Caenorhabditis elegans: one gene and its partner. The protein of the gene in region 1 interacts with the protein of each later gene in a pairwise test. Each region holds a gene or a part of one and is shown in the gene's direction. Other genes may lie near its edges.

Region 1 (12,050 bases):
TTTTCATTTGTCTGCTCAAATGTGAGCTCATCGAAAACAATATGTGTTCACAAAAATATAAGAAGAGTTTAAAAATGATTACTTTTAGATACCGGTTTAAAAAATTTAAGAGAGACTCAACGGTTAACTTTAGTGTATTATTGTAAAGCCTAGGACAAATTCGTCTGGTAAATACGGCCCATAACTATTGGTATTACATTTTTTTTTAATTGAGTTTTTTTTTTTAATATTCACATAGAAATCCCACAATCATTTTCAGATTTCTTCCGACGACTTTTTCTGAAAAATGAAGTGGCTTCTGTATCAGCATTTGACTCGAATTTGGCTATTTCGTGAACATTGTTCTTTCAAGCTCATATGTCTTTAAATGGCATCTCAGGACACGTAAATAAATAAAAAATATTATTTTAAGTTTAATTGGTTTCTTGAAGAGTACTAAAAAAAGATAATAAAAGTTCATTCTTAACACAAGTGTGAGCTTTCTTTTAATACACACGTTTCACAGTTTTCCTAATATATTCTACCAATATATGTGCCTCTTTGATCTACGAAATATTATCCCACGCAATGTTATACTTCAAGCAAAGAAAATTTTTTATGTTTACATCAAATAGCACAGCCGATGATGAGAACCAAAAACGTCATCCACCAAAAATAATCGAAATTATCCAAAAAAATTGAACTCTTAAAAAAAATTGAATCGAGCAGGTGATTTTCCTTAGATATAAAACCTTGACATCTACATCAGTTCTGCCTGATGTACATATGTTTTGCAACTTTACCGAGTATCCACAACCGATTTCGATTTCTTTTAATTTTTCTGAAATCGATGCAAGTTTGCTGGATATTTTACCACTTGGATCGGAATGGATATTGCTAGGCTTCCTGTTTCCTGTATTTTCAGTAATTTTGTACTGTTACCAAGCTTGTAAAAAAGAAGTAGGTGTAAACTTCGAATAGATCTATTATTGATGTTAACTCTTAAAATTGTGTTTTTTTAGAATTCGATATATTACTGCTTCTACCATTTTTGTTTAATCTACCCTATTGTTACTTTTTTCCAATTAGCGTTTTTGTTTCATGACATATTATTAATATCAACTTTCCACTTTTTTGATGGTAATCGAATTGAAATGTACAAATATGTGATATCCTTTCCCATACTGCTCTTTCCAAACTTCGTCACACCAACAATTCCTTACTCTATTACTATGACTTACGCATTATTTTTGAACTGGAAAATTGGAAGTGAAGTTTATGTTATGAGCTGTAAAGTTACAAGGTATACTGATAGTTAGAGAAATGAATTCAATAAATTTTTAGACTGAAGATATACATAATTGATGCGGTACTATTCATAGCTCTTTATGCATTAAGATATTTACCCGACACAACTTGTAAGTCTACTGGTTTTTTTTCAAATTGCCGGTTTCCCGATTTGCCGGAAGTTTTCCTTTATGGCAATGTGTTTGTTTGCCGATTTGCCGAAAATTTTTATATTCGGCAAATTCCGATTTGCCGTTTGCCGTAATATAAATTTGCTAGGAGTGTTTAGAGGGATTTTTTATAAAACGGAAAAAAAATTTAAACTGTGCCTTTTTGAAATTTAATTCCTGTTTTCTTTAGAAATTTTTTTATAATTGGCTTATTTTTAAAAACAGACGTAGGAACATTCATAGGTTGCGTGCAATTTTGCCGATTAAAATTGAAATTCTGAAGTTTCCAAAGAAATGTACATAACCAGAATTTGCCGAAAATTTTCGCCAATGGTCGTTTTTTGGAAACTTTGTCAAATGAGCAGGATGTCGGTTTGACGATTTGCCGAAAATTTTAAATTCCGTCATTTTGCCGATTTTCCGGAAAAAAATCGTTTGTCGCTCACTCCTGATTTAAACAGAATTTTACCACTTAATTGAAAATGAATATCCCTTGTGGGGATATTGCTTTGAAATGCTCATCTAGCAATAAATCGGTAGTTTTTTGCAGTTTCATGTACAACCAATTTTTAAGACTTATTCAATAATAAAATTGCAGACATACCTACATTCAAATCAGTATCAATAATTGTTTTATCATTGCAAGTTTACAGCTTCAGTAATTAATGTTTAAAGTAAAATTTCAGAGATTGGACATTTTGAAATGGATTTTATTAGTTTCGATAACATATCTTCTGTTTTATAAGTTTTATTCCATCTATTATGCTAAAAACGCTAAGAAATTGAGTTTGAAAGAGCGCGCTCGTATCGTTCATATCCTGTTATTCTTATGTATTTCAATTGTAAGAAAATGTTATTGATTATTTTTCAATCGTAGCTATATTTACAGTTCATCTCCCTAGCATCAGTCTCTACTGCGTACTCCGATCATCTCAAATCTCCTGATAATTTTCAAATTGTCACACTTGGATTTCAAGACACTTGCATTATGTGTTCCGTGTTCATTTTGGCAACTTTTGTAGCTCAGGATAAAGTGGAAACTATTTGAAATATTTAGTTCTATTTGTGACTTTTGTTCTTAGTGTCACGGGTCCATTGATTATTTATATAACTGAAATACGCGTCCTCCCTTATTCGGATTTCTGCAACCAAATTTGACGTCTTCCGTTTTTGAATCTGAAATGATAGAGTTTGAGAAAAGCGACAGTTTTGTTAGTCCACTTTTTAAAAAGTGTATTAAAATGATAAATAAGAGCTAGGCCGAGGCGTATTCTTGAGGTTAGACTTAGGCTTAGGCTTAGGCACAGGCGTAGGCTTCGGCTTAGGCTTAATCTGGGCAGGGGAAAGAGGAGAGAAAATATAATTTTCAGAAATTTCGAAAATTCAGAAAAAAAAATTACACAAAATCGTTTTAAAAAAATCAAAGTTCTAAGAAAAAAGACAAAAATGGCACAATCCCAAAAAATCAGAAAAAATACTTTTTAAAGAATTGGGCAGATAGAGAAAAAATAAATCTCAGAAAATACACAAAAAACAAAAAAAGAGACATTCCAAAGTCTGGCAGTGAAGTGGCCATGAAAAATTGCTCGAAAATAATTAAAAAGTATAATAGACTCACGTGTTTTATAACTCTTGCCATGGAATATGTGACGACAATTGCATAAACCGGCAGACAATGCACCACTAAAAAAAATTGAAACTTTCATAGGAACAATTGAAACTCACTTTCTATGAATCCGTGCAATTTCCCTTGGGATAAACTAAAGTCAATAAAATTTGTGGCCAAGTTTCCAAAACAATATACCATCATGAACACAAAATCTAAGCAAGTGAAACGCAATATAACTTTTATCAACATTTTGTTCTCCTCGATTTGATATTTTTGGCTTAACCGGCGCACTTTTGAATGGACTCTGAGTTTCTTGAAAAAAAAAATTTAACCAAAAAAATAGGTTTTTTACGTACCGTGTTCACTCTGTATAATTTCCAACATTGCAAAAAGGCTACAAAATTGGAGAAAATCGTAAAGATCTCTACAACCAAAAGCCAGTCGGAAGGATCATGAAATTCACAAAAATCCGGCCGAGTTGTGAACTTTGAATCAAGAAATAGGGGAACAGTTATTAATAGACTAATTATGATCTGTAATTTTTTGCTAAAAATTTTTCAAAAATTCTAGAAATTACCTGGAAACAAACCAATAAAATACCGACACATGAATTTTTATGTTCATATTTATGCGATAAATATGTCGCCAGAGTTCTTTCAATGGCCATAAATACAGTAGTAAAACTGGAACTGTAAATTCCGTAAAGGTACATGCTTCGGGATATCACACATCTGAAATTACAAGTGGTTAAAAAATGGTAAAATTAAATTTCTTTTTACATTTCAAAATATTGCCGTTTTTCACAAACTGCTAACGGTGCCATCCAGAGGTACATATCGCTGGAATGTTGAAGGATTCTGGAATTAATGGAAATTTCATTCGGCGAAATTGTATACATTCAATGAATGTATTTACATCTATTTTGAAAAGTAAGCAAATTCTATGAAAATAACTAAAGAAAACGAGAAAAAATTTTCAAAAAGGCACAGTTTTAAGTGTTTCCGTCTTGTAAGTATCCCTCTAAACATTTCCGGCAAATCTGATATCCGGCAAACGGCAAATCGGCAACTTGCAGAAAATAAAAATTATAAAACCGGCAAACTGTTTGAATTGAAATTTTCCGGCACATCGGCAAACCGGCAATTTGCCAATTTGGCTGAAAAAAAATTGCCGAAATTGCGCCCACCCTTAATACTTAGGCAAAGCTTGTGTGGTTTATCGTAGACCTCGATACTTGTCGGCTGCTCATTTGGTATAGGAAGTTTGATAAATGCGCAGCCGACATTGATCGAGGCTGCGAGTGGTCATTCAATTTTAAAAAGAGAATTTTGCAAATGTGATAAATGTGCCGAGTACTGCTCTGCCAGGATACTTCAGGAGTACTCCAGGGTTACTGTAGATTTTATTATACATAGTGTCCCCCAAAAAATGGCAGGTCCAAACAATCAGCTCACCTGCCGAAACAATGAATAAGAATGAAGAAACAGTGAAACCCTGTTATCAATCTAATGTTCGTATGAAACAGTGAAGATTTGATGCATTTCACAATTGCCAAAATCAAAATTGGTAAAGCAATGAATGATAAAATCAGCATGATCAGCTCGGAATAATGCAAAAATTTGGAGTCTTGATATTTCAAAACTTCGCGTACATCACACACAGATGAATTTTCAGGTTGCATAGGCAGATGTCTGAAAATTAGTATTTAAAAGTTATACACCTCTTTCAGAGCAAGCAGTAACTAGGAATATAGGTGATTTTTGGATTTTCTAGCAATTGTGTTTCCAGAAATGCACACCTTCAATTATTTATTTTCGATGAATTCTGGGTAAATTAGGTTGCAGATTAATATGTATACTGTATTTTCTAATGGTTAATGAACATTTAAACAAAAAAACAGATTCATAAGCAAAGGTTTGGGGCAAGTTATGTATATTCTGTAAATGTTTCAAAAATGTCAAAAATTTCTCATAAAAAGATCTTGCACAAAGTAATTATAATTCGGCTTGTTCTAAACGTTTGAGCTCTAGATTTGGGTCTTTGATTTTTCAAAGTTTATATACTACATTCAGATAAATTTTCTCGGTCTATAAAGAACGCAGGCAAATTAATGTAACAAATTCAAATTAGCAAAGAATTTTTTTAACAAAGAAGTGAATGGCTGTCTAGAAGGAAGAAAACAATGAAAGTTAATATTAGTCCACACGTAAAAATAAAATTACGGGAATGTAAGTGGGCGATTGTTTTCTGCTTATTATGTGTTCCAAGCAACTAATTGTATTCGCATATTTGTCAACTATAGCAAAAATTTTCCTGGAAAATATGAAAGTTCAATAGTCCAGTAATCCAGGTAGTCCAGGAGTGAAAACCAAAAATCTTTTTACTGAGAACTAGCGAACAGGACATTGCTAGAAAATACGTTTGGATTTACTTTGAAAGTCTTTTATTTTTATCAGAGATCGTATGGAATTTTAAAACTCGAGAATCTTTAAGTAAATGCTAATGAAACTGATGTCCAGTACAGAATGCAGAATTTTGCAATTTTGTTCCAAAAATATGGTGCCTCGACACTACAACTTCTTATTGAATGCAAAAAGGTCAAGCCCTTAAACAGTACTCCATAAATCTTCTGTGGTAATTTCATTAATTGGGTTCGATAAAATTTTGGGTTTTTACATGCTATAGTTTAAAAAAAATTAAACCTATGAACCATCAAGTAAATCAGACCAATATCAAGAAAGTTCAAGAATGTAGTATTTTTTAAGGGGCACATTTATTAAAATTTAGCAGAAATCGAAAAATTTTAGTTAATTAGAGAACATGCTTGTTCCCTAAAATTGCTCGACAGGATTTTTGTTAAATCTGAGAGCACAAAAATTGAAATTTTTAATGCACGAATTAGGTTCTAGTGATATCACTAAAGTTTTATACAAGGAAGTGAAAAATGGAACTGAACTACTTGCTTTCTTGGTTCAACCACCCCTATTCATGCTTAAATGATTTTTTATTATAGATGTGAGCTAAGCCTGGTCTCAGTGTTTTCCTTATTTTTCTGACTTTAATAAAAAAAAGGGCTAAACAGGCGGCTTGGTTGTTCATAAAATTATTTCTAAAAATTATTTTTTATTTTCTCCAAGGCGTGTTGAACAGAAAAATATTGAACCAAAAAAATTTTGAGGCGTTTATATTGATGTTTTCGTAGTCAATATCGAAGAATGTAGGAAGTAAGATTAATCACTTGTGACCTATCACTCGTGATATTTGCAAGTTAATCTTTATTATATATATTAGGATAACCATTCAAAAAATGAAAAAAAATCCGATAAGTTTATACTAAAGTTGTGGGAGGAGTCTTTTTTGGTGGAATACCAATTTTCGATTGAATTTGAAGGGATTTTCAAAATACAAATACAAGAAAAATATCAGAATAAGTTATAACAAACAAAACTGAAAAAAATAATTTTGACGAAATTTAAGAAATGACGAGATAATTTTCCCAGACAGATTTACGCAAAAAGAGCATTATGAAAAACCAAAATTTTGAGATTAATTCGAAAAATTTCAGAAATTGAAAATCATTGTGTACTCAAAAGACAATGGGGCCTTGTCCAATTCTTTAAAAAGCATTTTTTCTGCTTTTTTGGGATTTCGCCATTTTTGTCTTTTTTCTTAGAATTTTGATATTTTTCACGATTTTGTGTACTTTTTTCTTTTTTTCTGAATATTCGAAATTTCTGGAATTTTTATTTTCTCTCTTCCTCCCCCTGCCCATTTAGATTTAAGACTAAGCCTAAACTTAATTGAAAAATGAAAATAAAACGCTGTAAACCCAAACCTAAATAGCTGACGCTCGATACTGACGCCAAGCCTAAGTCTAAGCCTAATCCTAAGCTTGAGCCTAAGTCTAAGCCTAAGCCTAAGCATAAGCATAAGCCTAAGCCTAAGCCCACGTGAGTATGATATTGCCAACCATAGAATTCAAAATTCGTACATTATATCATTTTACATAGCTATTATTGAGTTCCCTACCGCTTTTTGACAGACGACTACAAATAAAAGTATAAAAACTATATAGCGGTTTGTGTCTTGTAGTGTACTATAACCTTTGCCCCTTCCCGTCGTACTCTCCACTCGTTCTTGAAACAAATGGACAACCTGGAGACAGAAAAGAAAGATAACATGCCGCGAATTGACTCTCAATGTCTCCTTCTCTTCAGCGTTTTATTGCTCTCACCCACGTTTTGTGTCTGCGTCTCTCATTGATTTGTTTCATTTCTCCTTCTCACTTTTTTTCAAGTGTTTTTTTTTGTTTCTATAATTTTCTTTGATTATTCAAGATGTCTCGTGGGAATTGCAAGGTTTGCGACTCGCCAAACGCGACAAATTTTCATTTTGGAGCACATTCCTGTAAGGTACGTTGTTTTTATTGTTGCTAAAATTAAGTTGATTAATTTATTTACCAAGCTTTTTTTGTTTTTCCTGTCTTATCAGTAGAACATTTTTATTTTCTCTTGTTTTTTCGGAAATATTTCACCCGCAAAAAAAACATTTAAAAATTCAAAAAACTTCAGTAGAGTGAACGGCAAACGATTATTTCCGGCAAATCGGCACACCGGTAACTTGCCAGAATCGAAATTTCCGGCAAATTGGCCAGTTGTTGGAATTTAAAATATCCGGCAAATAGGCAAATCGGCAAATTGCCGGAATTGAAATTTGCGGCAAATCGGCATACAGGCAAATTGCCGATTTTCCGAATTTGCCGGAAATATGGCAATTACCGAAAATGTTCGGCAAATTGTGAACTTGCATTTTTTTTCCAATCGCAACCGGCAATTTGCCGATTTACCAAAATTTGCCAGGCCGCAGTTGCCGCACACCCTGCTGCAATAGATAACATATGTTTACTCAATGTTTCGTTATGTAAAAATTTGAAATTGTTTCCCTCCTGCGCCTAGCCATCATGTTGAACAGTTAGGTTTGGTCCCCATTTTTTGAATTTTTTATAATAGCCACGAAAAATCAAAATCTACATAAATCTACGTAGTAGTTGCCTATTCAAGTGAACTTTTTCAGGCCTGTGCAGCTTTCTTCCGTCGAACTGTAAAAACTGGCCAAATTTACTCATGTCCCGGTGAGAAAACCTGCGAAATCAACCACGTGTTCCGACAAAATTGTAGACAATGTAGGCTGGCAAAGTGCTTGAAAGCTGGGATGCAGGAAGAATGTAAGTCTATTTTAATATGTTTGTAAAATCAAGTTTTTGAATTTCAGTAGTACAAGGGCACAAAATGAACGGAGAAAATAAGCGGTCCAGCCCAGTGGATGTTATAGCTTCTACCTCTGATTGTAAGTTCATTTAAAGGTTGAGTAGCGTTAGTTTTGTCTGAATACACATATAATGATCCAAAAAACCGAATATCATAGTAAAACACTCCAATAAATTTTAAATTTTTCATAATTTCCGCCATAAGTTTTGCAAACTGCCAAAACTTTAAAAATTATGAGCTTTTGAGGAAATCCAAAGCATTTACCGACCACTACCATGTTTTAATACAAAAATATTAAAGTAAAATTAAAATATAAAAAATGAAGGAAAAACTATTTTTTACGGTCGACTTCAAAAATTATGAGTGGCAAGAACTGACTAGGGAACCGTCAGAAGGTGCCCATCGGACTTGCATGTGACACCTATGACATTCGATAGCCCATGTCTTATAACGGTTATTCGTGAATTTTTAGTGGCAAAACTCCAGAACCAAGCTCACGGTGGGCTCTCAAAGATCCTAAAATAGCACTGTAACGAAGCACTTCAACGATCTAAAGAAGCAATTTTCCAATTTCACTTTGGTAGCTCATATCTCGGCGGATAAATTTTTCACAGAAAAGTCATCAACTAAAAAGTTGTTGATGTTGTTGTAAAGAACAAGTTCCTAGTTGAAAGTTTTTTACCAAAAATGTTTTGTTTGAGTTAAAAGCATTAGAATAGACATCACAGCATAAAAATAACATCAACAGTTGCCGCACTTCACGCGCTTTATCTCAAACAAAACTTTTTTGTTAAAAACTTTCAACTGGAAACTTGTTCTTCACAACAATATCAACAACTTTTTGGTTGATGACTTTTATGTAAAAAAATTATTCGCGGAGATATGAGCTACCAAAGTGAACTGGGAAAATTGACCCTTTAATGCTTCGTTAAAGTGCTATTTTAGGATCTTTGAGAGCCCACCGTGAGCTTGATTCTGGAGTTTTGCCGCTAAAAATTCACGAGTAACCGTTTTAAGACATGCACTATCGAATGGCATAGGTCTTATTTGCAAATCCGATGGTCACCTTCTGACGGTTCCCTAGTGAGAAATTTTCACTTTTTGACAGTAAATTTTTAAAAAAAATTAAAATGCTTTAAAAGTTTTATTGTGATATTTTAAATCGAAATTACTTTTAAAAATAATTCTAAAAATTTTTAAGACTACGATCCTCTCCAATTCCCAATTCAATCAACTTCACAGTCAAGCGAATCATATTATCCTCCCGCAAAATCGATGAAAATTGATGATGATCTAATGGAAATCGAAGAGCTTCAGCATTTTATCAAAATTCCCAATGAGCCGTCACTAGCTGTATCTCCACCTATAGATGTTATGGAGGAGGAAGATCGACTCTACAAGCTTGCTACACTTTATATAGAGCAATTCGTGAATCTGAATATGAGAAGAAGACTTACATATGCGAATGTATCGCTTTCTGCGATGTTTGATAATCCTTGTGTTTGCGTAAGTTTTTTTTGAAAGTGCGAGATCATATTCTGGCAATATTTTTTCGGCATTTTTGTGTGATCTTCATTGTTTAGTACTAATTTTTTAAAGGTGGAGTAGCGTCTGAAGGTTTTTTGCCTTGAATGACAGAATAAAGTCTCATTATACCAAATTTAACTGTAAAAAATTTTTTAAAAAATTTCTAAATTTTTTATTATTTTTTAAATTTGAAAAAAATAGGGCTAAATTATTTTTGAATTCCCGCGCAAATGAGTGACGTCATTCTTGACATTTTTTGCGTTTTCCGCCAAAACTGATTGGTTCTTCTTGACTTGTTTTGATTTTTTTAGTTTCAGAAATTTTTCAAGAAAAGTTAAAATTAATGTCGAATTATACAATTTTAGACCAATTTGAACGTTTTGGCAATTTTCATAATGAGTAGCCACTTTTCTTTACTGAAAAATGTCTGAAAATGTAAAAAATAAAGTTTCAAAATATATATCAAAGAAGAAATGAAGAAACTAATCAGTTTTCACAAAAATGTCAAAAATACTCATTTGCGCGGGAATTCAAAAATAATTCGGCTCTTTTTATTTTTTGAAAAAAAAACGAAAAATTTAGAAAACTTTTTTATTAATTTTTTAACAGTTGTATTAGGCATATTGGGACTGTATTCTAGCTTTTTTTTTTGAAAAATTAAGAACAAACTGGTCGAAAATATTTCTGAAACCAATTTTTTCCAGCCATTTGACCTCTCCGACATGAAACCGCTCAGCTACGATACCTATCGATACAAAAATCGCAATGATTATACCATGATTTTGGACTACGTGAATCGGTTCCCCGAGTTCCATCTGCTGAATAAATCCGAGAAAACTGTGCTATTCCAAACTACGGCTGCAGTTGACGCACTTGCGGATCCAGCTTATTATAGTCAGGTGTAAGTTGATCGGAATAAAAAAAAACAAAAAAAAAACATAAACTTTCAGAATCTACCCGGATGAGCCAGTTTTTGTGACGCGAGAAGCCAAATATCTGAAAATGGATCCTATGCCATCTACGGAACTTGAAGTGGTGCCCCAAGATTGTAATTTAGAAGATATTACTATTTATAAGTAAGTTTTAAATATTGAAATTTTTTAAATGTATTTCTGTTTCAGAAATGTCGTGCTAATGATTCGGCGGCAATGGAAGAATGTTAACGAGCCATTGAGAAAGCTGAAATTATCCCTCGCAGAGTTTTCATTGTTTAAAGCATTAGCGATTTGGCATTATAGTGAGTTGAAACGGGGAATCCTGCTAATGTTTAGACAAACCAGCAGCCGACAGATTTCAGGCTCTCGACATAGATTAGTGTCGGCTGCATACGTCTGACCAGAAAACATATTAATTTTTCAGATTACTACAAACTCCAAAACACGGGTCGTCAAATCTCGGCTCGCCAACGCGATGACATTTTCCGAACACTTCTCCTCATATGCGAAGATGAAGGATATGATGATCCGATTCTCAGAGTATCTGAAATCGTTCTGGCCGTAGGAATTGTGATGTCAGAGGTTCATGAGCTCGTGACTACGATGTTTGAGATTACGGTTTTCGCAAACGTGGATGATCCGATTTTGAAAGATATGCTCAAGTTTCAGTATTAAATTACGAGTTTTTTGTAATGATGCACATATATGAAATTATTCAGTTTAGAAAAGTTTAATTTTAATTTTTACGAATCGTGGATTTCGGCTCCAGGATAATGTTGAACTACAAGAAAAAAGAGAAATGAAATCAGTCTTCATCTAGTCCAAATATTTTCAGAAGCAGATTATCCAGAATTTTTTAATATAGATTTGATTACTAGCTTTGAAAAAGTATAATTTTCAGTCGAACAACTTTTTTTGTTAGAATTGTGTTCCCAAAAGACCTAAAGGTCTCCGTGGAGAAAATCAATGACTATTTTATAGATTGGTCAAAAATTAAATTCGAAACCAATTTTAGAATATTAATTTCAAATTGAAATCATATTGTGAACTTGTGGATTTTTCAAGTATAGTTCCAAATGCAGTTATTAATCTATGTAGGTATATAAATTTTTAAAAGCTTGATGGGATTATTAATCTCATTGGTAAATTTAGAATTTCAAGGTATCGGCTGGATTCAATTTATTTAATAACATAACTTGCAAATTTATGGTTAATTGGGAAAATAGTTATGATCCACGGTAGGTAGAGTATCCCCATGGACTCAGAGTCAATGGAA
Region 2 (13,639 bases), on another chromosome or scaffold:
TACCTTGGCAACGGTTAAGACATCTCCTTTCTTGATGGTATTTTCAGATATTTGGCGGGATATCTCAGCGGTCAGCTTGAAAATGACAATTTTTTTAAAAAATTAATGCACATGAAATAAATGTTTTGTTCGGTCAGGAGCCACAAATTAGTATATGTTTCAAATTTGACTAAAGTGTGTGAACAAGAAAATAATTTTGTGATAATAAAATTGAATGGGTTTTAACACTACATATACAATATTTTTTGAATTAGCTGGAAAAAATACACATTTTTTTTTTCTTAAAAAAGAGTTGTGGATGTGGGGGAAATTCTTTTTAAATGTAGTATTCGTTTTCAAACTAAGAGGAATAACAAAATAAAAAACTGTAAAACGCAATTAAAATTCAGCATGCTAAAAGTCACGAATAACTTTTAAAATTTAAATAGAGAAAATAATAGAAAAAAACAAAAACAAAATGTGTGTCGATACTACAAAGATTTATGTTTTCATTGAATAAAATACTGATGTTACGATTTTCCCATTTTAAGTAAATCATGAGTTAAAAATAAAAGAATTTGTTCCATATGAGCATAATCTCATAATTCGTACTAAAACTTACAATGATTGTTCCTCTTGCCACAGCTGTTCTTGTGCTGGTATCTTTTTGAGAGACGTCAACTTGTTTTGCGTTGCCATTGTTGTCCACATGAGTGAGCAAATGAGTAATTGAAGACACTGAACCGAAACTATTTCACCGGCTTCAAAATTTTGCAAAAACTTACCTGAGTAGGTTGTCGAGAAACATCGAATTTGAGAAATAAAAAAGTGACGAGAAGAATGCAAGTGACTATGATAAAGCGAACTAGATGGTAAGTGAACAAGTATAGAAGATGCGGATGTTACTGTAATAAAAATGAGATTCGAAAAACAGGTACCAAATTAATACCAGGAGTTAGCCCCCGATAAGAATCATTGGACGATTTGGCAGGTTCTTCAGAGCGTCCATTCCTGAAAACTGTATTTTTTTCCTACTCAAACAGTTTGATGGGCTACTTACCGGCATGTCTAGCTTTTTTGTTGTTAACGGCTTTTTGAATGACCTCGGAAAGCTGTTCGTCAGAGTCGCCACAACGAATTCTATCACGTAGACTTACTTCGGAATTTCCATGGAGGCATACCTTAAATTAATTGAAATTAACCAAAATTCAAATTCAAACACAAATGTGAAGGAAGGACACAATCGGGTATGTTGTTGAATGAACATTTTCTATTTGCGGGCTGAGATTATGCATAATAGCGGGAAATGTCAGTGAAAATTTTAGTTTATGCACTCTGAAATATTCAAGGTTTTTCCATATTCTTATTCAATGTTTTTTGATGTTCCAATTTTTCGAAGCATTAAGGTTTTGTGATAAATTTAGAACATTTATGCATGTTTTAAAGCCTACTGTTTTAATTAATATATTTTTTTAATCAATTTTATTAACGCATTATTTCAGGAGGTCTTTCATAAAAATGATTATGATGGTACAAGTGAGAAATACTCGCAAAGTTTTGCACTTTTATCTGAAATTCTCCAAAATGAAAAATACAACTTTTTATTAATAGACATTATTAATTGAAAATAAATACCTCAACGACACCTCGTAACTTCCTATAGACTAAAGATTGAATGCAAGCTTTATATAACTTGAAAACAAGTATTAAAGGTGTTAACAACGAGTTGAAAAGAAAAAAGGAACCTGAATGTTAGGGAACGAGACGAAATACAAAGGAGAAGAGCAGAGAGCACAACTTGTGCAGAGCGGCGGCTGGGCGCAAATGAGGCCAGGTGGAGGAGGCAAGGCGATGACGAACGGAAAGGATCGCTTCGCACAAAATCTTATGTTATACATTACATTTCGTCTCTCTTTCTCTCTCGGACACCCAACATTCACTTAGATTTTCGAAAGATGAGTTTATTACTGGCAAAGAATAAGAATGCAATATGATGAGAAAGGAATAAATACAAAAAAAGAGCGAAATCAATTGCGTCCTTGGAAGTGCCACGAAGGACGACGAATGAGCTATTATAAGGATGCATGATGTCATGTGAGAGGTTTCCGTAGATATTTCCTCCCAGAAAGATAAAATCAAAATAAGATTTATGAAATGAAAAGAGGAAGTCACTAGAAATCAACATGTTTATAAAACTTAATAATACATTAATGTTCTTCCGGTAATTTTCAAACTTTACATTTTTCAACTACTTACTTTCAAATTTCCATCAGCTGTTATTCTCAGCCTATTGCAAGTGTTACAAAAGTGATCTGACATCGAGGTGATAAACCCAAATTGTCCTTGGAATCCATCAATCTTATACGCTTTGGTTGTGTCATTCGGTGAGTCGGATAACCGTATTACACCATCTCCGTATTTATCAACAATTAAATTAAGCATCTCTCGATAGCCAATGAAATTGTCATTTTTGAACTCATTACCCCCAAAAGGCATGAACTCTATGAAACGGACGTCTAGGTTACGATCTTTAGTAAGATTAACAAAATCAACAACTTCGTTCTCGTTTTGGTGTTTAAGAACAACTACGTTTAACTGAAAAAAATTATGGATATTTAATTGACAATGCTCAGAAATTGAGACTCGACTCACTTTAACTTTTGGGTAGTAACCTCTCGCTAATTCAATTGCTTTCCAAACTTTATCAAATCCGTCACGTCTTGTCATTTTGGCAAATTTTTCACGATCAAGGGAATCAATACTGATGTTTATCTAAATTTATTTAACTTTTAGAAATTAAGTTTTTGTTGAAATTTCAAAAGTGTTTTGAAAAGCAAAAAGAGGATTGGATATGATTATTTGATTTGCTTCCACAAGTAATATTGTGGAAATGAATCGATAAACTTTTTAGGCAAACATGAAAACAAAAAGCACAAATGTCTCAATAATTTCCCAATTCTGATTGAAAAACATGTTTACTTTTGTCAATCCGGCATCTCTCAACTGTGGTAAAAATCTCTGCAAAACAAGACCATTTGTAGTTATACCAACTTCTTTGATTCCTGGAGTAGATGAGATCCCTTCTGTAATTGAATATGCCATGTTTCTCCACTGAAGTCATATTTCTACAATAAACTCACCAACAATATGCACAATATCCTTTCTAATAGTCGGTTCACCTCCTGTCAGTCTAACTTTGTCAACGCCATGTGCAGCGAATAACTTTACAAGTCTTAATACTTCACTGTTTGAGAGCATTTTGTCTTTGGGCTTGAGAGGAACACCTTCGGCTGGCATGCAGTAAAGACAACGGAAGTTGCATTTTTCCGTTAGCGATATCCTCAAATAAGTGTGCTCTCTCATAAACATGTCAAAAAATGGTGGCTGGCCTTTTGTGTGTTCAATCTGAAATTGAACGATGAACGACAAGTGAACTTTCAGAATTTTCTTATATTTTCTTATCTCTTTCTCTGATTTCTGAAGCTCATTTGCACAATATGTTTAAGAATACCTCTTGAATTTTTAGTCTGACTGCTTCTCTTTTTTGTTCGGGCGTCAACGTGAGTATTGGTTCGGCATGTTCTCGTAATGGAACAGTTAGTTGTTTTACAATTTCTTCTGTTGACGACTTGACCCGTGACCATTGAAATAACTTTTTTCCTGCTCGACAACTCATCTGTAATATTTATATCAAAACACTTTTAAAAATGCGGTGCGATTAATTTATTGATTAGGAATTGAGAAAAAAAACAAAACCTAGAGAAAAGGTGTAAAGTAAACTCCAAGCAGCACATTGTGGCTCTCACGCTCAAACATAAATCGTGGGCGTTGAAACCATAGAAAATGCAAAACGGAACAACGGGAATGTTTTGTCATCATACAGGTTGATGGGCACTCTACTCTGCATTGGTGATTTGCAATTCAATTCCGAAAAGTGATTTTTGTGTCGACGAAGGAGAAAACGAACGTGTTGCAGAGAACAAAAAGAAAAAGAGGGATAGAGGCTCAGGAATTTTGGACTTTATATATCAGGAAATGTATTTTTAATGAAAATGAAATATCATGATTCGGTCTAACGATTTGAAAAACTCAGTAACTTTTGAATGTCAATAAAAAATTTTTATTCCAGCTGTTGAAAAGTGTTACTATTCTATTTGATCATTTTGGCATTTTATGGATAATTTTTAACAATTTTCTTACTGTCGCTACTCCACCTTAATTAATTTCTGATGCAAGTTATTAATTTCTGATGCAAGTTATCAATGTCTGATTTTCAAATGGTTCGTGAAAATAAATCGAGGTTTTATCATTATCTTTTAATCAATATGATTCTGACGCTAGAAACACAATATTTCTGGAAGAGACAACAACATTGTTTGTCAAAAGATAAACAAGCGAATATATTTCAGAACATTTGTGTGCTCTTGACTATCATTTCCTCATAGTTTCTAAATCAGAAGGAGTGTTGCCATTATGAGTAAGTTAAATACCGTGTCCCAAAAATATAGTGTACTCATAAACCCCTTTTTTTAAAGTTGTCACGTCCTCCAAGTGTCCCATCTTCCAAACATCTCTATTTCTCTCTGTCTTTCTTTCTGACGTGTCTTTTTAACTCTTTTGGTGACCCCTGTAATTTGTACATTGTATAATAAAGCATAGACTATTTGAGACAGAGAGAGCGATGTGAAAAGGGCACTTGATACAACGTAAAAAAAATTGTTACAGCTGGCATCTTCAATCTGGGCGCTCGACGATCTTCGCTGATTGGGATGAAACTATGGAGATGGAGAGGTGAGGATTTTTGGGGTAAAAATATTCAATCAATTTAAGTGACTCATACAAACACAAAAAAATCATGTTATCAAAATCCATTCAATAATAAAATTGCAAAAAATAAATACGGAATGTTCCAATCTGCCTCCCTCATTCCCATCCCATTCCATTCTTTTGTTCTGTTTGTCCTGGTTTTCATCGAAATATTGATAAACTCCAATGGAATCTGCAACTGACGAGTTTTACTACCAATCTCGCATTCCACCACAGCCATCCCCTTTACCAGCTCAAACTCTTGAAATTAACGGTCACAAATATGTTCTCAATCATCGTTTCAAGAGTATCAAGATTGGTAAGTATGGTTATACGTCCGAGTGATTGGCAAACGACCTCGGGATACATACGTTTTGTTAGCCGGATAGTTACGACGTGTTTTTTTGGAGGGAGAAGACGAACGGAATAGAAAACTTAGACATTAGTCATGCTTGTCAGTTGTGTCGCGCGTCTCTTTGTGCCAAAAAACTTCGCCACATGTTAAAAGGTTGGTCAACTTTTGTTTGTATCGAGGGAAATACTGAACTTAAATGCAACATTAATATTTTCATAGAATAAAATGTAAGTATTAGTTTCAAAAAGTTACATTTTAAAGCTTTATAATTTGCAGCTCAATTTATATTTTCAAATATCTCTGAGAAGCATGTGAAAATATAACTTTCATTTTGAGGTGTTCGTAACATTATATAAGTTCTCGTCTTCTGAACACTACCTAGAAATTTAATATATTGTTGGAATTGGAGTTGGAAATGTTGGAAATCATGTGGGGATGCCCGAATGTAGGTGTCCCTGTAAGACAAAACTAGGCAAATCAATAAACACGATTTTTTAAGTGATAATGTGTATGTATTGTAGCTTTTACTTGTGAATTAATTTCATAAGCAACTTAACTTAACTGTGCTAGTGGTATTTTTTGTTTAGTTACATTTTCCTAACAATGATACACTTATTTTGATTGAGCAAGATGCTCAACATATTTCTACTGTCTTTGATGTTTCACATGTATAACGCAAATTTTGAACATACATGTTCAAAAAATCATTATTTACTCACTTATTAACAACATTGGTATGACAATGTAATTTAAATTGCGGTATATTAAATCAATAATTTTTTATGGTTTAAAATAAGTTTTGAGTTTTGACTACTTCTCTAAATTTTGAATAAATTACAAAACGAGTTACTTGTAAAGATGCCGATCAACTTTTGTAGCACAATAATTAAAGTTGTCCTGTACTTTATTCATAGCTTTATTTAATTCTAAACAAATTTTATTTTACTTCACGGGTCAGTGTTCAGAATTGAAACAATTAAAACAAACTAGAGTTCAATGTTTTACTAATAACACTCACTATCAGGTTTCTTTACAAGCTTAAACGATGCGTTTTTTATATTTTTATATTATTTAATTTCAAATTATTCAAATGTTGTTCAAAAAGTTGCATACGGCTTGTCATTTTTTTTTGTCAGATGTCACCATTCTCTGTTGTCACGCTCTTAAAATTGATAGTGTCAAAATGTCAACAGTATTTCTTCACACAATCAGAATAGTCGCTTCAGAATGGCACAAAAACTTAAAGTAGGCGGCGATTTTTGGTTTTGTTTCACACTCTCCCAATCTGCCAGGTTTCTCGCCGCTTGGCGCCGATGCCCGGGTAATGTACATAATCAAACGCACGCAGCATACCAAAGTCGGGGCTCTTATCACTTGCACAACGCTTTTTCAATAGGTGCCTGCCGCACTGCGTCGTTTCATGAACTTGGTTGTACGCTCGCCTCATTTTCTTATAGAGTGTACACTGTTTTAGGCGTTTTGCCGGCATAATGGCCATTATTTTACTCCAAAAATGAAATATTTTTTGTTTCATTCCTTTCTTATGACACATGTTGCGGTGATAACCATAATCGTTATGATGGAAAGTGGAATTCAGGAATGTTGGCAAACAAAATGACTTTATAACACTATTTCTTCAAAAAATATAGATATTTGTGTTTTATTGATTTAGGTTCACCGTCTTAGGGTTTTTTTAAGTTCTATAACTTGTTTAGTTGTATATTTTTTATAATATTTAGTGTCGCATGCCTTTAGCAATTAACAATATCAATAAAGAAAGTTTCTCGGATGGCAAAAGCGTTATCTACAACAGACCAACCCTGCCCATAAAATATTATAAAACTTTTCCCGCAAAAGTAGTGCATTACTTATGAAAATTGAATGTCAAACAGTTTGCAAAAAGTTGGTTTTCAGTCTCTCATCGGTATCCACCAATCATCCCGATGTCGGTCGACGAACAAGCGGTACCACCGGAGGTTTCGCCTTCAATGGCTGCCAACATTCCACAGATGGTCCACGATCAGCTAGCCGCACAGTTTTTGCCAGGTACCTCTTGTTTAGGTTAACATACACAACAAAATTTCAGCGGCAAAAAATCTTGGGCAAGCCGGAATGCATCTACTGAAAACATATTACAGTAAGTATTTTTGATCAGAAAACAATAAGTTCTCTTACACAGTATTCTTTCTATGCTTTTGTTGTATTTTAAAAAACCTGAGAATGCCTAAATTGTGGCTCGAAAATAGCGGCAACAGGGAAAACAATCGGCGAAGAAAGATATAGGTTCCTTCGCTACGAGATATTCCCGCGCCAAAACGGTAGGCACTCTCATGATCTCATGGTTTCTTAATATTGTAAGAGATGAGAAGTAAAAAAAATTAGAAAACGTTACTGCAAAAAGTTGGCAAATATACGTTGAAAGTATTATAGTTATCATGGTCGGGACGGTTTGTAACAATGGCTCAATAATGTGAATAAAATATACTCAGCTCATCCCATTTCTGTGTTAATAATTTGTTTATAACTCAATTCAGTTTGTATCGCAACACATGAAAACATGTGTAGTTGAAAGACGCATTCATAGAACTCGAGTTTTATATTTTCATAGTTTGTGCCTAAAAATTCAATGACAAAAACTATATTTTTTGTGAGAGTGGAAATTGAAACATTTTCGTTTGCAATCCATATCAATGTAGGTCAAGAAAAATAGCTTTTCAATAATCACATCAAGTTTTCAAGATGACAAGAGTATATAAAAATTTGCAATTTTCAGTGTTCCAAGAAGCATTGTCAAACTATTGTGATGCCACTCACAAACTTATCAAATCAGCTGATACTGCTGGACACAAATCGAAAAATGAAGCTCGAGAGCTTTCAAAAGTTTTTAAAGAGTTTGTACAGGGAGTAAATGCTCATCAAAAAGTCGTAAGCATCAATCTAAAGAAAAGTTTCGCATTCAATATATAATTAAACATAGATTACGGAATTTGACGCGCTGGCACACAAAGTTCATGACTATAGCAACAAGGAAAAAGACAAGCTGAAGACAGAATTTGCTGAGTACAAAGCAAAAGAAAAAAAACTTCTGAAACGCAAAAATGGAGAAACTGAACAAGATATTACCGCGTTCCATAAAAAAGAAGCAGCCAGCTGGGCAAAACAACAGGAAATGAGATACAAATTTTTCAATGACAAGCTGCAATCCTGGATTCACGGGTGAGTTAAATGTAATTAGAATTGTGAAAATAGCAACATTAATTCAATTTCTGGAAAAAAAAACTCTCATAAAATATTATCAGATACGTCGAAATTGGGAAATTATTCCAAGCCCAAGAAGTGATTGTTCAGCCAGCAGTTGGGAGTGTGATCGCTGCACCGGTTGAAATTGAGACCATACCAGAAGACCACAAAGATTGGCATCAAGATTTACATGAGCATGCCGCCGTTGTTGCAGCTGAGGAAATTAAAGAGAATGTTGAAAAGGTAAAACACAATTTAATGCGTGTATATCATATTAAATTTCAGAAAGTAGATGAAGCTGTACAGGACAGCCGCAGCAATTCGACTTCATCGGTTGCAACAACGCTAGAGGATCTTCCATCTTCTCGTCGTCTCACAAATGACGTTTCCGGAGTCACACTGGTTAGTAATTATCGCCGTCAATCAATTGAGGTTAGTTGAGGACTAATATGTCATGTGAAGAAATGTTTCAAAGTTGTTATAAGTCAATATTGTGTATAAACAATAGGTCATAGTTACATTAAATCACGTACATAAAACTTATAATACATACGTTTCATTTTGTATTAAAAAAAAAGAACACTCACATTTTCAAAGTTTATTACTATGTGTAAGCCATCGGACTAGTTGTAGGATACTTAAAATTTGAACTGTTGAAGCAAGGAGGTATTCAAAATTTCTCCTATTTTGAAAAATTCGCATCTGCAATAACACTATTTTTTAATGTTTGTATAATGTCCGCATGTGCTATTAAATTATCTAGGATAAAAATCAATAAAAAACGCAACATTTTGAATTTTAATTTAGATTAAAATCAGTTTATTTATTCATAGTTAAGCCTGCATGAACTTTCAATCAGCAACACAGTGTTTTCAAAATTTAACAATAGAATTCAAAAATGTTTGTAAACATCGAAGCAAAAGTCTTTAATCGAAAAAAGAAATATTAGCATCGTTTTGTCAATTAGATTTTATTGAGTTTTCACTTTGGTTTTGAAATCTTGGCAATCTTTCTATCACGTTTTAGAAATGTTACGCGAATTTTAAAAGGCTGACTGAAGAACAACTATTTTCACGTGTTACATAATTATCAAAATTTTTTCGTAACAACTTCACGTGTTTGTTTAATGGTAGAATAGCGACGTATGAATAGTTGCTCTATTTGACTCAAAATTACCTCACATAACATTACTATATTTTATTTAATCTTTCACATAAAGTTTTTATCAAAGATTTGAACTGCAGTAAAAACATTTCATATTCTTATTATGTATTCACAACGTGCCCCGAATTAAAATACCATGCATTGGTTTTTACAAACAGTAAATGCAACTGGTTTATTTCGAAGAAAAATTTAATTGCCGTATTAATTTCAGATTCAACAACTTCCACCCAACAACAGCTACTCCCACATTGCTCCACCAGTCTTGCCGCCAAAACCAGTTGTCGAAAACCCCCAATATGCTCCGATTCGCGCTCAACCAGTTCCAGTCACACGCCAGGAGGAGAGCACATACGCCCCTCGTCATAATGTTGTCGCCGAGGTAAGCATCTGGTGTAATCATCTTTTCACTCGCTATTATTTGTCCATTTTGATAAAACTATGCGTTTCCAGCAAGTGCCTCAACAGCCGGTTAATAGCGCTCCAGGTGGTGTCCGCCGTGCTGGAAACACAATTCCAGGTGCTGTTAATGTTTTCGGATTTGCAAATCAATCAAATCCTCAGCCAAATGTCCGCTACACGCCTGTTCAGGTAAAAACTATTCGTGTAATTTTCAATTTTCAAGTGTGATAATCCTTCAGAATAGCACGCCTTATCAAGTTGTTACCAGCGATTATATTCGCGTTGGGAGAGTCGTCGATAATCCAGTGACAGAGGAGCAAATGAATGCTAAAAAGTGAGTACTCACAAGAAATTTGAAAAAAAGAACGACATATTCAGATTCCACGTGGATTCTAGTTACCTTCCAATGGCTGCTCCATCTCACCAAGCACAACAACACAGTCGCAATCATAGTACAGATATTTCGGTTCCATCATTCTTCAACCCATCACAATATGGAAGTATTCTGATTGTTAACGATGATTTCAATGCTTCTTCCGGAGAACAGATGACTGTGAATCGTGGAGACAAGGTACCAAAAACTTTCTAAATAATTTTGAAAAATTAAACTAAAACTTGTTACTTTTTGTGACGTCAAGAAGAAAACAAAAAGAATATAAAACTTTCAAGCAAAACGGCAAACCGATAAAATTTCTAACAACAGACCGGTGCCCTAAAAAAGTGGTAACATTTGCCTGTATCAATATTTTAATTTGACACTATTATAGGATTTGAAAGCCTACATGAGTAGAGTTTCATGAATGTTTTTTTTAATCAAAATCAATTTAAGGTTATTAATTTTTTATCAAAAAAATCTTAGCATTGGTTCGAGATATTTAATTTATGGAATTCGTTTTTACATTCAAACAAGTCCTTACTGAACATTTGTCTAACAGGCTCTTTGTAATATTTAGTATTGAATTAGAGAATACTTGCAAAACATAGTGTAGTTGAAAACTATGTTGATGTTGTTCTTTGTTAGATATTTTGAAACATGCATTAGTCACCTCCACAATTTTATCACATCTGATTAATTTCAGGTAATCCTCTTAAAATGCGGATCTCGTGGATGGGTGTTTGTCAGAGATTCGATTTCTAACCGAACAGGATGGGTTCCTGAGCCATATGTCAACCCATAAACTTTCAATTACAAAAAAACAACATTCTTGTCATTTCTCGTTTTGTCTGTGACTTATCTTCCCATATTTTCACCAGAACGCCTATTTTTGCAAATAACTATTTTGTGATTTCCTGTAATTCCTTGATTTATTTCCCCAGTTTTTAAATAATTCATTCTTATCCCAGTGGTCCAGTTTTTATCAATATTTTATTCACAGTAAATAAGTAATTAAAACACATGGTAAAGCAAAAAATATTATTGTATGGTAACATTTAATGAATTTAATGATTAAAGTCATGAATGTTGGTGTAATTCTTAATTAGAGAGTGTTTGGGAAGAATTGGGCAACCTGATAAAAAAGCAACTTCAGCAAAAAAAGATTCTCTGCCATAATCAGAACGAAATCAAGGTGGCATGATTACAGTTTTAGAGAAAAAGCAGCAAAACTTATTGGAATCAAAAATAATCTTGAATAAATTCGTAATGATTTAATATTGTTTGGAAACTTTTTAGATTTTTGTTGATCTATCATCAATACTAGAGGTGTAGAAATTATATATTAAAAAACGCAGCACACGTGTTTAGAATTACGGTTGGAATAAAAAAGGAAAAGAAATTCAAGCACTTAGAAGGCCATTATTATCCTCTTCTTTGCAGTTACGCATTGCTTCTTCCAAGAATCCTGAAAAATGCTGTTACTTGTATAATAAGAGTTAGTGTCGAAATCTATACCTCTCTTCATTTCACGGACAATGACAGTCATTAACTTGTTCCATCCCAGACGAGCCAAGCAATTTTCTCCGCTGTATACATTATTAATATCAGCAATCTTAAGAATATAAGTTTAGAATTGTGCAGTAATGTTGGAATCCTTAACTCCTACCGGGATAAGACTTGCATCAGTATCCACTTTTCCATTTGCAGTTCCATTGCTATTAGTATCCTCCTTTTCTTTGGAGCTATCCGTTGTTCCGGTTGTTACTTGATCAACTGTTACTTTTTTGAAGACAAGCCAGTTATCTGCTCCAAAATTGACTCCTCTGTAGAAATGAATTTGTCCAATACGATGTGCCATGTCAAAAACACTGGAAATTGGACAAAAACCGAGAGATCCGACTGCCGTGTCAAGGAAGTTCTGGATACGGTGCGCCTGGAAATCTCCTATTTTTTAAGAGATACTTGTATTATCAAAGCAACTTTAAATGTTTATTTTCTTGTATTTGTTGATTATTAATTTTTTGGTACAAAACTATGATAATGTCTTCAATCTGATAATTTCAAACTCTTTAAATGTTTGGAGTAACACGGAATTTTTTTTGAGTTGACAGGTAACTTCTATTCAAAATCTAAATTTAAACATCCTCACCTGTAAATGAAATTCCTTGCTTTGATTCAAAGCACGAATATCAAGACTTTCACTCTGAATACCGAAATACTCAGCAAACTTTGGACGTTTTTCAATGAGCGTCTGCAGAATCTTCTTTCCAACGTTGTCGGTTTTCGCGCTGCAAAACTTTGAATTCAAAAAGCAATTATTCATGGGTTAATGGACATCGATCAAAATCTAATACATGTGGAAGCAAGCCGAAGACGTAACGCGTGATGCTCGCATAATCGAATTCATTTTGCTTGTATCATTTTTAGATGATTTCTGGCATTAAATTAGGTCTGGTCTATGAGGAGTAAACAAAAATACATATTAGTTCAATTTTTTTCACATGTAATTGGCAGTTGTTTTGAGCTAAAAAAAAGATATTAATTTTACTTGCCAAAACGAATTTTCAAACTTATTATAATAGCTGCTAATGAAATTTTTTTAAAATAAATGTTAATTTGTGTTCACAGATTTTTTGAAACAGAAGAAAACACATGTAAGCCTGTTCACCTTTTGTTCAACTGGAGTAAACTTATGTAACGAAGTGAGCTAACAAATAAAAACTGTTATTTTTTAAAACTTTGAAAAAAAGTTTTCAAAGGTTTCATTTTCAAACTGAAAAATATGTTATACGGTTTTATATTTGCGCACAAAGGAAGAACGAAATCAGCAAAAATAACGACAAGGCAGATTTAATACCGTGTATGGCAATTAAATACCGTACGACTTACACACCAACAACCGTATTTTTTACAAGTTTGCTTTCACTATCTTGTTACCTTAAAAAACATTTATTTCAAAAAGTAATATCGAATGCGATACAAAACTGGAAATTAGGTTCTTTGAAATGAATAACAGAGAAATTACTGTTTAGCAATGTATCGAGAAATAATTATTTTTAATCAGAAAATAATACAAAATCTAATATGTGGTTGCAGAGTTCTACGCTTAATGGTCTTGCCAATGATTATCATCAACTTACCGCCTCCAAACGTCTCGAATTGCTGTCACTTCTTCATCGGTGATTTCTGTTGTCATTCGTTTCTTGCTGCTGCACAATCCCATTTTGAATTTCTTGCACCTGAAGTAAATAATCAATCGTGACAATTCTCAAAGCTTTTGTAGGTAGAATATATTAATGAAAAAGAACGGAAATGTCATG

What was found.
Region 2: the proteins of nhr-256 (region 1) and F49E2.2 interact in a two-hybrid assay, tested with the Caenorhabditis elegans proteins (one large-scale study listed by BioGRID).

Annotation. Positions count from the first base shown.
Region 1 is NC_003283.11:1,736,432-1,748,481, forward strand, and holds nhr-256 (NR LBD domain-containing protein), read left to right. Parts: upstream 1-7,339; 5' UTR 7,340-7,382; coding exon 7,383-7,457; intron 7,458-8,118; coding exon 8,119-8,269; intron 8,270-8,316; coding exon 8,317-8,391; intron 8,392-9,513; coding exon 9,514-9,818; intron 9,819-10,543; coding exon 10,544-10,740; intron 10,741-10,789; coding exon 10,790-10,915; intron 10,916-10,960; coding exon 10,961-11,076; intron 11,077-11,198; coding exon 11,199-11,449; 3' UTR 11,450-11,550; downstream 11,551-12,050. Other genes in the region: str-160 (Serpentine receptor class r-10), read left to right, coding at 260-336; srab-25 (Serpentine Receptor, class AB (Class A-like)), read right to left, coding at 2,496-2,612, 3,055-3,119, 3,162-3,357, 3,402-3,578, 3,623-3,776, 3,825-3,902, 4,500-4,726; putative 5-hydroxyisourate hydrolase ZK697.8, read right to left, coding at 12,001-12,050.
Region 2 is NC_003284.9:9,562,325-9,575,963, forward strand, and holds F49E2.2 (SH3 domain-containing protein), read left to right. Parts: upstream 1-4,971; coding exon 4,972-5,104; intron 5,105-6,458; exon of another isoform or gene 6,459-6,583; intron 6,584-6,711; exon of another isoform or gene 6,712-6,732; intron 6,733-7,054; coding exon 7,055-7,186; intron 7,187-7,226; coding exon 7,227-7,277; intron 7,278-7,913; coding exon 7,914-8,065; intron 8,066-8,117; coding exon 8,118-8,356; intron 8,357-8,439; coding exon 8,440-8,623; intron 8,624-8,665; coding exon 8,666-8,812; intron 8,813-9,755; coding exon 9,756-9,923; intron 9,924-9,994; coding exon 9,995-10,132; intron 10,133-10,182; coding exon 10,183-10,277; intron 10,278-10,321; coding exon 10,322-10,514; intron 10,515-11,022; coding exon 11,023-11,121; downstream 11,122-13,639. Other genes in the region: moc-5 (GTP 3',8-cyclase), read right to left, coding at 4-75, 602-717, 765-884, 929-997, 1,040-1,160, 2,236-2,574, 2,632-2,751, 2,959-3,062 and 2 more; glb-17 (Globin domain-containing protein), read right to left, coding at 11,720-11,784, 11,835-11,931, 11,980-12,252, 12,469-12,607, 13,460-13,542.